3 linked regions of the Ovis aries genome follow. The protein of the gene in region 1 purifies or fractionates together with the protein of each later gene. This does not show direct contact. Links are inferred from orthologs where the notes say so. Each region holds a gene or a part of one and is shown on either strand. Other genes may lie near its edges.

The links.
Region 2: the proteins of USP13 (region 1) and BAG6 purify together in Homo sapiens (affinity purification with western blotting; 3 studies listed by BioGRID and IntAct, with this or other methods). This does not show direct contact. The link is inferred for Ovis aries from reciprocal best matches to the Homo sapiens genes USP13 and BAG6.
Region 3: the proteins of USP13 (region 1) and SMC1A purify together in Homo sapiens (affinity purification with mass spectrometry; 5 studies listed by BioGRID and IntAct, with this or other methods). This does not show direct contact. The link is inferred for Ovis aries from reciprocal best matches to the Homo sapiens genes USP13 and SMC1A.

Annotation. Positions count from the first base shown.
Region 1 is NC_056054.1:208,163,241-208,166,796, forward strand, and holds part of USP13 (ubiquitin carboxyl-terminal hydrolase 13), read right to left. Parts: intron 3,347-3,556; coding exon 3,193-3,346; intron 1,230-3,192; coding exon 1,055-1,229; intron 1-1,054. UniProt on the Homo sapiens protein: Deubiquitinase that mediates deubiquitination of target proteins such as BECN1, MITF, SKP2 and USP10 and is involved in various processes such as autophagy, endoplasmic reticulum-associated degradation (ERAD), cell cycle progression or DNA damage response.
Region 2 is NC_056073.1:26,726,090-26,730,283, forward strand, and holds the start of BAG6 (large proline-rich protein BAG6), read left to right. Parts: upstream 1-1,373; 5' UTR 1,374-1,627; intron 1,628-1,632; exon of another isoform or gene 1,633-1,795; intron 1,796-1,856; exon of another isoform or gene 1,857-2,144; intron 2,145-2,272; 5' UTR 2,273-2,285; coding exon 2,286-2,393; intron 2,394-3,408; coding exon 3,409-3,526; intron 3,527-3,639; coding exon 3,640-3,836; intron 3,837-4,073; coding exon 4,074-4,127; intron 4,128-4,194. Other genes in the region: APOM (apolipoprotein M), read right to left, coding at 564-927. UniProt on the Homo sapiens protein: ATP-independent molecular chaperone preventing the aggregation of misfolded and hydrophobic patches-containing proteins.
Region 3 is NC_056080.1:51,292,150-51,296,254, reverse strand, and holds the start of SMC1A (structural maintenance of chromosomes protein 1A), read left to right. Parts: upstream 1-1,256; 5' UTR 1,257-1,322; coding exon 1,323-1,431; intron 1,432-4,105. Other genes in the region: RIBC1 (RIB43A-like with coiled-coils protein 1), read right to left, coding at 509-517. UniProt on the Homo sapiens protein: Involved in chromosome cohesion during cell cycle and in DNA repair. Central component of cohesin complex. The cohesin complex is required for the cohesion of sister chromatids after DNA replication.

The sequences.
Region 1 (3,556 bases):
ACAATGGATAACTGATAACTGAGCTATTATAAATCTCCTCTGGATATGAAGAAACTTTTTAAAAGAAATTATTGTTAAGAAAATGTGGCTTTTTCTTTAAAGCTTTTGAACATTCTTTTTGTTTTCCCATTCTTAACACATGAAGTCAATCATCTGAAACAGAGGAATCTTGAGCGATGACGGTCACAGAGAATAAGCGATTCAGGTTTGACTGCTACTTGTAGTTGTGATAAAAAAAAAAAAAAAAACAGCCAGCAGTAGCTCATCCATCCTTCCCTGCCTTTCATGTCACCTAGAGCTCAGGCTGAGCCCAGAAAAAAAAGGCTGAAGAATATCTGAAAGTAATGAGTTCCAGAGACTTTTAGACCTCCCCTCTTTTTCTGCCATTGTGAGTTCTCTTTCTCCAGCTGCATGAAGTACACAGGCAAGGACTTGACTGTATAAAATCAACTAAGGTGTCAAGTGGAGGCAAAAAAAAAAAAAAAAAAAATGCATGGCCCTGACAAGAAGGATCACAATATAGAAATAGAACATCTCCTGACCATGTCTTAGCAGCTCATTGGAACAAAGCCCAGGAACCCTGAGGTCCCCTTTGAGATGCCCTGAGACCCCTAGTCTCCAGGCAGGAACAGAGTCATCAAGTTCTAAGTCAAATCTTTAACTGTGGAATCAGAATCTATCACAGTGGAGTTTAAATACTGAAGACTGTCATAAGTAGTTTTTGAATTTCTTCATTAATATCATCTTTCCATGTGGCACAAGAGTTCTTGGCTATACCTGCTCAGTAAAAAAGAGAAAAGAAAAGAAAAAAAGGCATTCTCTCCCTTACACATGATACCGATTACAACAAGCCTGTCTTACTGGATAGGCCTCATACAAGCAAGGTCTATGACAACTAGGGTTGTCTAAATCATAATCCCATCTGGCCACACATGAGCAAGCATGCACAGACCTGTACAGCAGCACCCCTCGCCCTTCCCTACTGGCCCCCACCTCTCAAGGCCCCCTTCTCATCCTATTGCCACCACACAAGCACACACACATACACACTTACTTCACACCCGCAGACTTTGCTTGCAGGGCGCTGCTCCAGAAATCATCAACATTTTCTGGTTCAGAAAAGGCCTGCAGGCAGGCACTGAATGGTATCTTGGCACGAACCAACTCAGGAAGGGGTCTTCTGTTTGATTCTGCTTCCCTTCTTGTTAGTTCATAGGCAATCAGTTCATCTGCGTAGAAGGGCAAACAAATGAATCTGCAGTCATTTATTTTCTTGAAAGGAAAGAGCCCCTTGAACAATGAACAGCCTTCCCTGAAGGCTTCTGGGCTGCGGGTAGGACTTCTTCCTTGCTGCCCTCCACAGAGCCAGAGGAGCCTGCTGAAAGTGTGTTTAGAGTGGCAATGCCAGGCTGCATCAAGCCATTCATTTTTTGCCTGTTCCTCTTTGAGGCTGACAGGAGGGAATTGTGAATTACAGTCCAGGTGAGAGGTTCAGACTACACATGTGCTGTAAGCGATGCACGAACCTGGGCTTTCATTTATCCAGAGGTCAAGACTGGTTTGACTCCAAACCACCCTCTAATCACAAAGTCTCCACACCAGAGAATTTCACACTGAGAGAAATCCGAGGGCTCACCTCTTCCTGGCCCTTGACCATGATGAGAGGTCATGGAGAGTGCAGGCCAAGGAGCAGGATGAACTATAAGGAACACAATTACCCAAGGCACCAGACCTGCAATCCTACCCAGCACCGCCAAGAAAACTTCATGCGGGGTTACCTGACACTGCAGAAAGCAGAGCAGCCAACCCAGAAGGCTTTCTACACTATCCCTGCTCAAATGACTGAACACCCAGGGGAAAAAAAGTGAGTACACTGTGAGCTTCCCAAGAGTCAGTAGATCTACTCTTAGAAACCACCTGTAAGTCAAAATTCTATACATTTCAAATGGACCTTTCCAGGAACTCCTCTGTGATACAAAAAACCACTTCTGATTTATCAGTTTTTATATACCACTGATGTATCTTTGTGTTTTCTTAAACACATCTGGATATGCTCTTACAGTTCATTCCCCAGTCCACCATTGGTTTAGGATGGACTTCTGTCTAGGATGCTAGCATTATGTGTTTCCAGCTATCAATTTCCTGACACTAAGTTACAAATCTCCTTTCTGAACAACAACAACAACAACAACAACAAACATAGCTACCTACCACTTATAAATTATAAATTATAAACAGTGAGTTTAGAGAGGATCACAGAACTGAGTAGAATATGTTAGCCAGCATCCACCAAGGTAGTCAAGAGAAAGCAATTAGGCCTCATGCTAAAAAGGAACCAAACCACAGATCCCCACCTCATTTCTACTTTGTGTAATGAATAAGAATTTAAAAATTAGCCAAAAGCTGCAAAAGTTTAGAGAAAATGGAAATTGTTTCATCTTAAAATCATTTTCCAATTAACACAATAAAGTGACTACCCACCACCCCTGCAAAAAGAGAATAAAAAAGCCACCCAAGGAGTGTTTGAACTTTACAAAAATGACTAGTTCACAGGAGATAAGCAATTAAGCAGATATTTCTCCTTTTTCTGCTTCTAAGATGTTAGTTCTAAGAAATATCATTCATCTATTCTGTCTGAAAAGAAGCAGATCAGACTTACTGAAGGAAATTTCCCCTGAGCATCACCCCCTCCACCTGGGTATCTGCCTTCTTCCTGCTTCCAATGTCCAGAGACCTTTCTAAGGGGTGCCTGACAAAGGGCCCAGCCATACTTTATCACCCACAACAGGCACCTTGCTCAGATGCCAAAGATGGATTCTTTTTAAGAGACCTCTGCCTGAATGGCTCACATCAAAAAATGTAGTTCTGACCACTTCCCTCAGACTTTACAGCACAACTTGTAAGTGATAATGTTAAATTACAAATAATTTCCTCCAAATTAAACTGACTCTAAACCAACCTGCTGTTGAAACTTATAGGCACTGAAGTAGGTTTCCTCTATAACCGGCTCCATGAAAATCTCAGAGAAAGCCACATGGGGGCTGAAGAGTAGATGAGAAGAGACAGGCAGAGCAGACACCTTCCAGGTCTACTCCAGACACAGCTCTGCAGTAACTAAACCGCACTGTCTCCCACTCGAGGGTCTTCGCGTGTGAAGAAGCGCTCTGCTCACTTCCCCCTCTGGAACACTACCTTTGTTGGTTGCCGCCTCCATGGCCACGGGTAATTGCATCAGATAGTCCACCCTCTCCGTGTAGCGGACTTTTCGGGTCTGACAGCACTGAATCCGCTCTTCCACCAAAAACCGAAAAACATCACTTGGGTTTTCCGAGCCAATGCGGTTCCTCTGAAAATGAGATTATATCAAGTCAGTAAATTTATATTACTTTCATGGGACACACATGCTATGTCATTTTAGTAATGTCCGACTCTTTGTGACCCCATGGACTGTAGTCCACCAGGCTCCTCTGTCCATGGGATTTCCCAGGCAAGAATAATGAAGTGGGTTGCCATTCCCTTCTCCAGGGGATCTTCCTGACCCAGGGATCGAATCTGG
Region 2 (4,194 bases), on another chromosome or scaffold:
CAATCTCATAGGATTAGAAGAGCTAAGGCATATGAAGCCCTTAGCAAAGGCCTGCACATAAATCCAAAGTAAATATTCCCTATAATTAATAGCAATGTTTGTAAAGCACTTATTAGTCTCTCGTGGGTATTATGTTCTCAAGTAATAGGAAGTAGGCAAAGAATTGTCAAGAGGCAATCATTGGGTACTGCCAAGAAGATGGTACTTCCTGGATTATTTATAACCCACAGGCTGCCATAAAGATTTGTTCTGAGAGGTGAGGCTTGCTCTGCGCTTGCGATTTAGCTAAAGGAATAAAATTTGGGTGATGAATAGCTGAGGGTTCATTATATTTTTTAACAAAAAACTAAAATGCAAGCTATTGGGGCAGTAAAATAGAAGTGCTTGACCCAAGGGAGTCTGGTAGGCCTGATTTGTCAGTTCTGCCACTTACATGCACCTATATAAAGGGATGTAATAGATGTTGAAAGGCTATTAAATGTGACAGTATGTGAAACCCTCAGCAAACCGGCTGGCACCAACTAGGGGCTCACTATACATGTGCTTATTAAAACTTTCAGTACCGGGACTTAAGTAGAAGCTACAAATCCCAGAAAGGACAGGCACCGGAGGCAGGTACACCGGCAGCAACGGCTCTGGCTGGAGGAGTGGCAGCACTGAGGGGCCCAGGCCCTTGCCCGAGGGGCGGGGGGAGAAGAGGGCAGAGGGACGGTAACTATACCGGACCTTCCACCTGTAGAAGCCCTTAGGCGGCCCTCTCAATCCCCCAGGGTCAGAGTCTTGTGTTTCACTCCAGTCTGACCCCATGTTTCCAATTCCCAAACTCGGAGTCGTCCTTTTTAAGATAAAAGTCCTGAAAGGTCCTAAATCCTTGGTTTCTCCAAAACATGGCGTGTGCCCTCGGCCGCAACCGCCGGGGAAGAACATGGCGCCACAAAACGCCCACCGGGCAAAACCGAGGTCAGGCCCAACGACGCCACCGCACGTAAATCAGCTCGAGAACCACCTCCAACCGCCTATGGAAAGGGTGACTTCCGGAGACGCCGAAGGAGTGGCTCAACGAGGACGATGGTAAGAGAAGACAGGATTCTAGGTGGCCTGGACAGTGCCGCCTCAAATTCTCTGCCGACCAAGACTTCAGCATAGATTTGCGAGGCACAATCCCCAGCCTCCAGACTCCAAGATCCACACAACGGCTCAAAGCCTCTTTCGAGGCAGTGGAAGAGTCCCATCTCGTGTTTTTTATCAGGCATTTATAGCGGCCACCACAACCCCCCTATTGCTTAAGCGCGCGCAGGGGAGAACTGAACAGCGCCAGCTGTGGTGGGGAGGTGCCTAAGGGTGCACGCATGCGTAGTAGGACGCACGCAGGCGCAGTACGGTCCCCCGGGCGACGGCGGTGGCGGCGGCTCTTCGGGGTGCTCGGCTCCCTCCCATCTAGGCCGGCCCCGGCCCGTCTCGCCCCCAGGAACTCACTATTTGGGGCCGCGGACTTTCTGGAAAAGCCCCACAAAAGTAAAGCTTGGGGACCTGGGGGGAGCCGGAAGTACCGCCTCGCGATCCCCAAATACTATCGGGGAAACGGAAGTGGCCGTCGGTGGCAGGTTGGGGGAGACCGGAAGTGACGGTACCGTGGGGAAGTCGGGGGCGGAGCTGGGTGGTAGGGTGTGTGTGTATGTGTGTGTGTGTGTGTGTTTGGAGTGTGTGTATGTGTTTGGAGTGTGTTGGTTGTGCCTTTCTGATAGAACACCGAGGGTACGTGGAAGAGGGAGACAGCTCGCCGATCTAGCCCCCCGTGAGTGTTCGTCATTTCGGGTCTCTAGTGACTTAAGCGGGTTCGATGGGCGTGGCGTGGCGCGCGTGCGCGAAACCACTTTCTCCGCAGAGTCTAGCGCGACCCTCGCTCTCTGGTTGTCCCCTGGGTTTGCCGACTTCTCGAGCCCTTGTCCTACCGCGACCGGTGATGACACCGGTCTCGTGTTTCCTTCCTTCCCGTCTTCCTAGCTCTTCTGGCCCTCCCTTACTGTGATTGGCGTCGTTGAGCCCCTCCCACCTGCCGCCCTCCAGCTCCCCGTGCCGTCGATCTCTTACCCTTTGTGTTTCTCTCCCTGTGCCCCGGAATCAGAAGGGGGATGGGGGCGGGTGTGAGTGTGTGTGCTTGTGTGGGAGAAACTCTTTAGGCATGGGGCGGAGTCTCGGGCAGGGGAGGCTTCCGGGTATATAAAAATCTGCTCTAGGCGACAGCGGGCCTCCTCCTAACATTCTTCCTTAGAGAGCTGTCGGCCATGGAGCCCAGTGATAGTACCAGTACCACTATGGAGGATCCTGACAGCCTGGAGGTGCTGGTGAAGACCCTGGACTCTCAGACCCGGACCTTTATTGTGGGGGCCCAGGTGAGACCCCAGTACTTCTGGGAGACACTCATTAACTCTTCCTCTTACAGGTTCTTTGTACTGAAAGAAGAGCCTGATATTATGGTTTTCAAATTTTCTCTCATTGGTTCTTTTGTTCATGTTGTATCCAGAACATTTTCTGATGTTTCCTCTTTGGCTTTTGTTGGGTGAGGTAGATTTTCTTTGCCTTCCTCCACCTCGATAAAACTCAATGCAGAGGGAAAGAAAGAAGGAGGAATCTGTATGCCAACATGATAGATGAACCCCAGCCCAAAGGGACAGATGTGGCTCCTGCCTTTGGGAAGGCAAACAGAACACTAGGACCTAAAGTAGAAGAGTGTCTTAAAAACTGATGAGGTCTATGCTGTGTTTTTAAAGGATAGGAGTCGGATCCCATAATGCTCATAATGCAGGTAGATCCTTAATAGACAAAACCGTAAGGAGGTTGATCCATAGTTTTAAACACATTGTTTCGTGTATTTAATGAGACTGTGTAGGCTTTTGTGATTAGGTGTTTGTAAACAGCTGGATACTTCTCACAAGTCAGTTGTCTAGTTAGGAAAAATATTTTTCTGACTTTGCCCCTTTTTCTTCTTGCTTGAGTCTGCCTTCCTTAACCTGATTCTCTACCGCATCTTCTTTGTCATTGCTTTTATCTTTAAGGTTACAGTGTTGTATCATTTTGTGTTTGTGGAGGGGTCACCGGTATCTCTAGGCACACACATTCCTTTTGGAGCCAGGCAGAGAGGGAGAGAAGAGAATGTCAGTTGGTGTTTCTGGTCTTCAGCCCTGTAGTTTTCTCCTGGGCCTGTACCTGAAGTTCGTTACGTTTATTGTATGTATTTTGACAAGTGTTGCCCTAGTTCAGGGCTTTGCTCAATAATTACCTCACAATTAAGACAGGTGGGTAGTAATTTTAGGATGGGATGGTTTTTACCCCTTACAAGTCAGCTGTCCCCCTTCTGTCCTTTTTCTTCCACCCCCGATTCCTCGTCATGTTTCTTCTTCCCTACAGATGAACGTAAAGGAGTTTAAGGAACATATTGCTGCTTCTGTTAGCATCCCATCTGAGAAACAACGGCTTATCTACCAGGGACGAGTTCTGCAGGATGATAAGAAGCTCCAAGAATACAGTAAGGGGGTGGGGGAGGCAGAGCAGAGCTTGAGGCTGCTGTCCAGAGCAGTGAGCTGAGGCCAAGGGTTTCCCTGATCATGTAATGTTTTGGTGTGTATCTTTTTTCTGCAGATGTTGGGGGAAAGGTTATTCACCTTGTGGAACGGGCTCCTCCTCAGACTCAGCTCCCTTCTGGAGCATCTTCTGGAACAGGGTCCACCTCAGCCACCCATGGTGGGGGACCCACGCCTGGTACTCGGGGGCCTGGGGCCTCTGTTCATGACCGGAATGCCAACAGCTATGTCATGGTTGGAACCTTCAATCTTCCCGTAAGCTTGTGTTCCTCACGGGAGGGTTTTTGTGGGGTCAGTTTTGGTTGTGGTAGCAGCCAAGAGTTCATAAGAGAGGTGTGTCAGTCTTTAGAAGGGCTTTGGTGGGCTCTCTGGTCTGGTAACAGCCTCTGTCTTTGATAATCTAGAGGGGTCGGGCACCAGAGAATCAGTTGGAAGCGTGGGGGCCTTAGTATTTGGCTTCTCCCAGAGCAACTTCCCTTACCCTTTCCTCAGAGTGACGGCTCTGCTGTGGATGTTCACATCAACATGGAACAGGCCCCAATTCAGGTATCACAGGGCCTGGGAGGGTCAAGGAAGGGGATCTGGGAGAAGGAGGCCACAAAGTGGGGGATGG
Region 3 (4,105 bases), on another chromosome or scaffold:
TTCCCAGCCTCCAGACATCGTTTAAAAAATAGTTACAGGAATGGCTGTAGCAGCCACCAGACCCTTTCCATGTCTAAGTCTAAGCACTGACGCCAGCTTGCTTATATTCCATCTGTCACCACAATATAAGGTCAAACTGAAGGGGAAGATTCTACAGCTTCTTGAACTGCTAACATTATGGCTTAATAAAGAGCAGGTAATAAGGTAAGGGGGGATGATGGGATGAAGCAGAGGGATAGAAAAGATGGGAAACAGGGGAAAGGGACAGAAAGGTCAGGGGCAGAGGGGGAAAAGAGGAAGGAGGAAAACCGGGTGGTTGATAGGGGTGGAGGACAGAGCAGAGAAAAGGAAGGGAAGCAAGGGACTGGGCAGAGGGGGGATGGAGAGGAGGGAATGGGATGGGAGTGAGGCATGAAAAGACAGAGATGAAGAGGGGGAAGGGAAGAAGGATAAGAGGTGGAGAGCACAGGCTTAGGGACCCTGACTCCCAGGGGTTCACACAAAATACCTTTTTCATCAAGGAGTCCCAATTGTGAAGCTCCCAGGTTAGGTCCAAGACTATAGTGGCAGTCTCTGAACTCTGCTTGGAGAAGAAGGAGGGAGGCGGGGCGGGGGGGGGGCGGGTAGGGGTAGTACCTCTGGCCACAGTTGGGGAAAACTGTGGCTCCAGAGTTCCCCTTCTCCATTCACACCTCATCCCCCTTAACACCCTATCCCATGTATAACTCCACCCCACTCCAATTCCAACCTCAGCAAGATTTGAGCTCCTCTAACACGGAATCCTCCTGCTTGCCCCTCCTTCCTCCCCTCCCTGGGGTCTTTCCAATTCCCGACCCTTTTCTTGTCTGAACCTTCCCGCCGGCCAGGCAAAAGCTGCAGCCGAGCTCCCACCTTACTCTTGCCCTGGAGGGCATAACCCTCCTGTGACTTCTGACTTGTCTCAGCAAGGGTCGGCCTCGTCAGCCAGCTTTCCGGGATCCTCAAAGCTGCAGACACCTCACTGCACTGCTTGCCTCCTCAACTACGAGGTCGCCTGTAGCGGCGGTTTGAAATTGCCATGCAACAAGAAAAGGGGGCGGGGCCCGAACGCCAGTCGTAACCTCGCGCCTTGGCAACCGATCAACAAAACCGCCACATCCGTCCGAATGCCCCGCCCCTTGGTTCCATCCTGCGCCGGAAGTCGAAAATCCCGTTCGGCCTGGACTTATTCTCGCGAGGTTTGCTGTCCGCCCGGCCTGCACTGCGGTGTTTCCCGCGCGGGCTATCCCAGTTGGCGGGCGAACGGCGCGGCCTTTCTTAGCGCCGGCGGCGCTGCCGCAGTCATGGGGTTCCTGAAGCTGATTGAGATCGAGAACTTTAAATCGTACAAGGGTCGGCAGATTATCGGACCATTTCAGAGGTTCACCGCCATCATTGGACCCAATGGCTCTGGTGAGATAAGCCCGGCTGCGGCCCTGCGCACGTCCCAGCCTGGACCCCCTGTCCGCAGCAGAGTAGTACAACCCAGGCTTTGCAACCTAGGAGGTTCCTTGCCCTTCTAAGTGTTCGATCCTGACCCGCTTTTCCCGCTTGGGTGCTCTGATTCGAACCTCTTCCCCAGATGTCACTTGCCCGCTCTTTGCGTGACCCCCGTCCCGGCCTGAGTGGTACGGGCCGAGCTGTACGTTACCCCGCCCACTGCCCCCTGCCTCCAGAAGTGGCGCGTCCGGAGCATGCTTCCAGTCGCGGGCCACGCAATTCCTCGCCGGCGCAGCTGCATCCGGCCCCCACACATTGTTTTAACCACCGGGAAGCTCGTGGCCCTCTCCTGGCCTCTGGGCCAAATGGTATACTTCTGCTTCATCCCAGCGCCTCCTCCCGTCTCGCGTTGGTACACTCCAATTCCTTTTTTTTTTTTTTTTTTTAAACTCTTCTCTGGAGGCGGCACTTTTGAATTTCGAACTCCGTGCTCCAGTCTCGGTAGTGCTTGGGGTCTTGAACTCCCCCATCCTCAACTGAGAAGTGGGGATGCCTCGAATTCGCCCCTTTCCTACCACTGAAACCGTCGAAAGTCAGGAGTCTTTAGCTTGTCAAATTTATTAAATGTTTACTGCTTTATAAGGATTTGTTCAATCAAGGTGCTGTGGAAACAGCGGAGAATAGAATAAGCCACGCTTTCAGAGAACTTATATTTCGAGGGGAAAGACGATAATAAAGGAGAAAATAAGTTATTTTTCGGCTGTAATAAGTGCTGTACAGGAAATTAGATTGATGTAATAAAGTGATGATGTGATAAATGACTCGGATGCCTCTTTAGGAAGAGTGGTCATTAGTTAACAATACTGTATTGTGTATTTCAAAATTGATAAGAGTAGATCTTTAAAAAGTCACAAAAAATATTAACTGTGAGGTGATGGATGTTAACTTACTGGGGCAGCCATTTTGCAATATATACAAATACGGAGTCACATAGTACACATGAAACTAATACAGTGTTGTATGTCAGTTCAGTTCAGTTGCTCAGTCGCTGTTGACTCTTTGCAACCCCATAGACTGCAGCGCGCCAGGCTTACCTGTCGATCACCAACTCCCTGAGCTTGCTCAAACTCATGTCCATCAAGTCGGTGATGCCATCCAACCATCTCATCCTCTGTCGTCCCCTTCTCCTGCCTTCAGTCTTTCCCAGCGTCAGGGTCTTTTCCAGTGAGTCAGCTCTTCGTATAAGGCGGCCAAAGTATTGGAGTTTCAGCATCAGCATCAGTCCTTCCAATGAATATTCAGGACTGATCTCCTTTAGGATTGACTGGTTTGATCTCCTTGCAGTCCAAGGGACTCTCAGGAGTCTTTAACACTACAGTTCAAAAGCATCATCATTTCTTCAGTGCTCAGCTTTATGGTCCGATTCTCATATCCATACACTAGTAACAGAAAACATAGCTTTGACAACACGTCGGCAAATAATGTCTATACTTTTTAATATGCTGTCTAGGCTGGTCAAAGCTTTACTTCCAAGGAGCAAGCATGTTTTAATTTCATGCTGCAGTCACCATCTGCAGTGATTTTGGAGCCCCCCAAAATAAAGTCTGCCACTGTTTCCATTGTTTCCCCATCTATTTGCCATGAAGTGATGGGACCAGATGCCATGATCTTCATTTTTTGAATGTTGAGTTTTAAGCCAACTTTTTCCACTTTTCTCTTTCACTTTCATCAAGAGGCTCTTCAGTTCTTTGTTTTCGCCCATAAAGGTGGTGTCATCTGTGTATCTAAGGTTATTGACATGTCTCTGAGCAGTCTTGATTCTAGCTTGTGTTTCATCCAGCCCGGTATTTTGCATGATGTACTCTGCATATAAGTTGAATAAGCATGGTGACAGTATACAGCCTTGACATACTCCTTTCCCAATTTGGAACCAGTCCGTTGTTCCGTTTCTGGTTCTGTTGCTTCTTGACCTGCATACAGATTTTTCGGGAGGCAGATAAGGTGGTCTGGTATTCCTATCTCTTGAAGAATTTTCCACAGTTTGTTGGGATTCACACAGTCAATGGCTTTGGCAGTCAGTGAAGCAGAAGTAGATATTTTTCTGGAAGTCTCTTGCTTTTTCTATGATCCAACAGATGTTGGCAATTTGATCTCTGGTTCCTTTTGCCTTTCCTAAATCCAGCTTGAACATCTGAAAGTTCTTGGTAAATGTACTGTTGAAGCCTAGCTTGGAGAATTTTGAGCATTACTTTACTAGCGTGTGAGATGAGTGCAATTGCGCGGTAGTTTGAACATTCTTTGGCATTGCCTTTCTTTGGGATTGGAATGAAAGCTGACCTTTTTCCGGTCCTGTGGCCCCTGCTGAGTTTTCCAAATTTGCTGGCATGTTGAGTGCATCACTTTAACAGCATCATCTTTTAGGATTTGAAATAGCTCAACTGTTATTAAAACTGGGGGGAAAAGGAAAAAGGAAGAAAGAGTAGTCAGGTAAAGTCTCTATTTCATATCTAAATTCCCTGTCTAAATTATACACCAAGGATTCCTCCTGTCTGCCCACGTTAGCTATCTATTTGGAATCCTGCTGTGTTCCTCCACCTCAGAGGTGTTCTAGCTAAATCACTTCCTAGCCTGAGGGACTGCCCTTGCT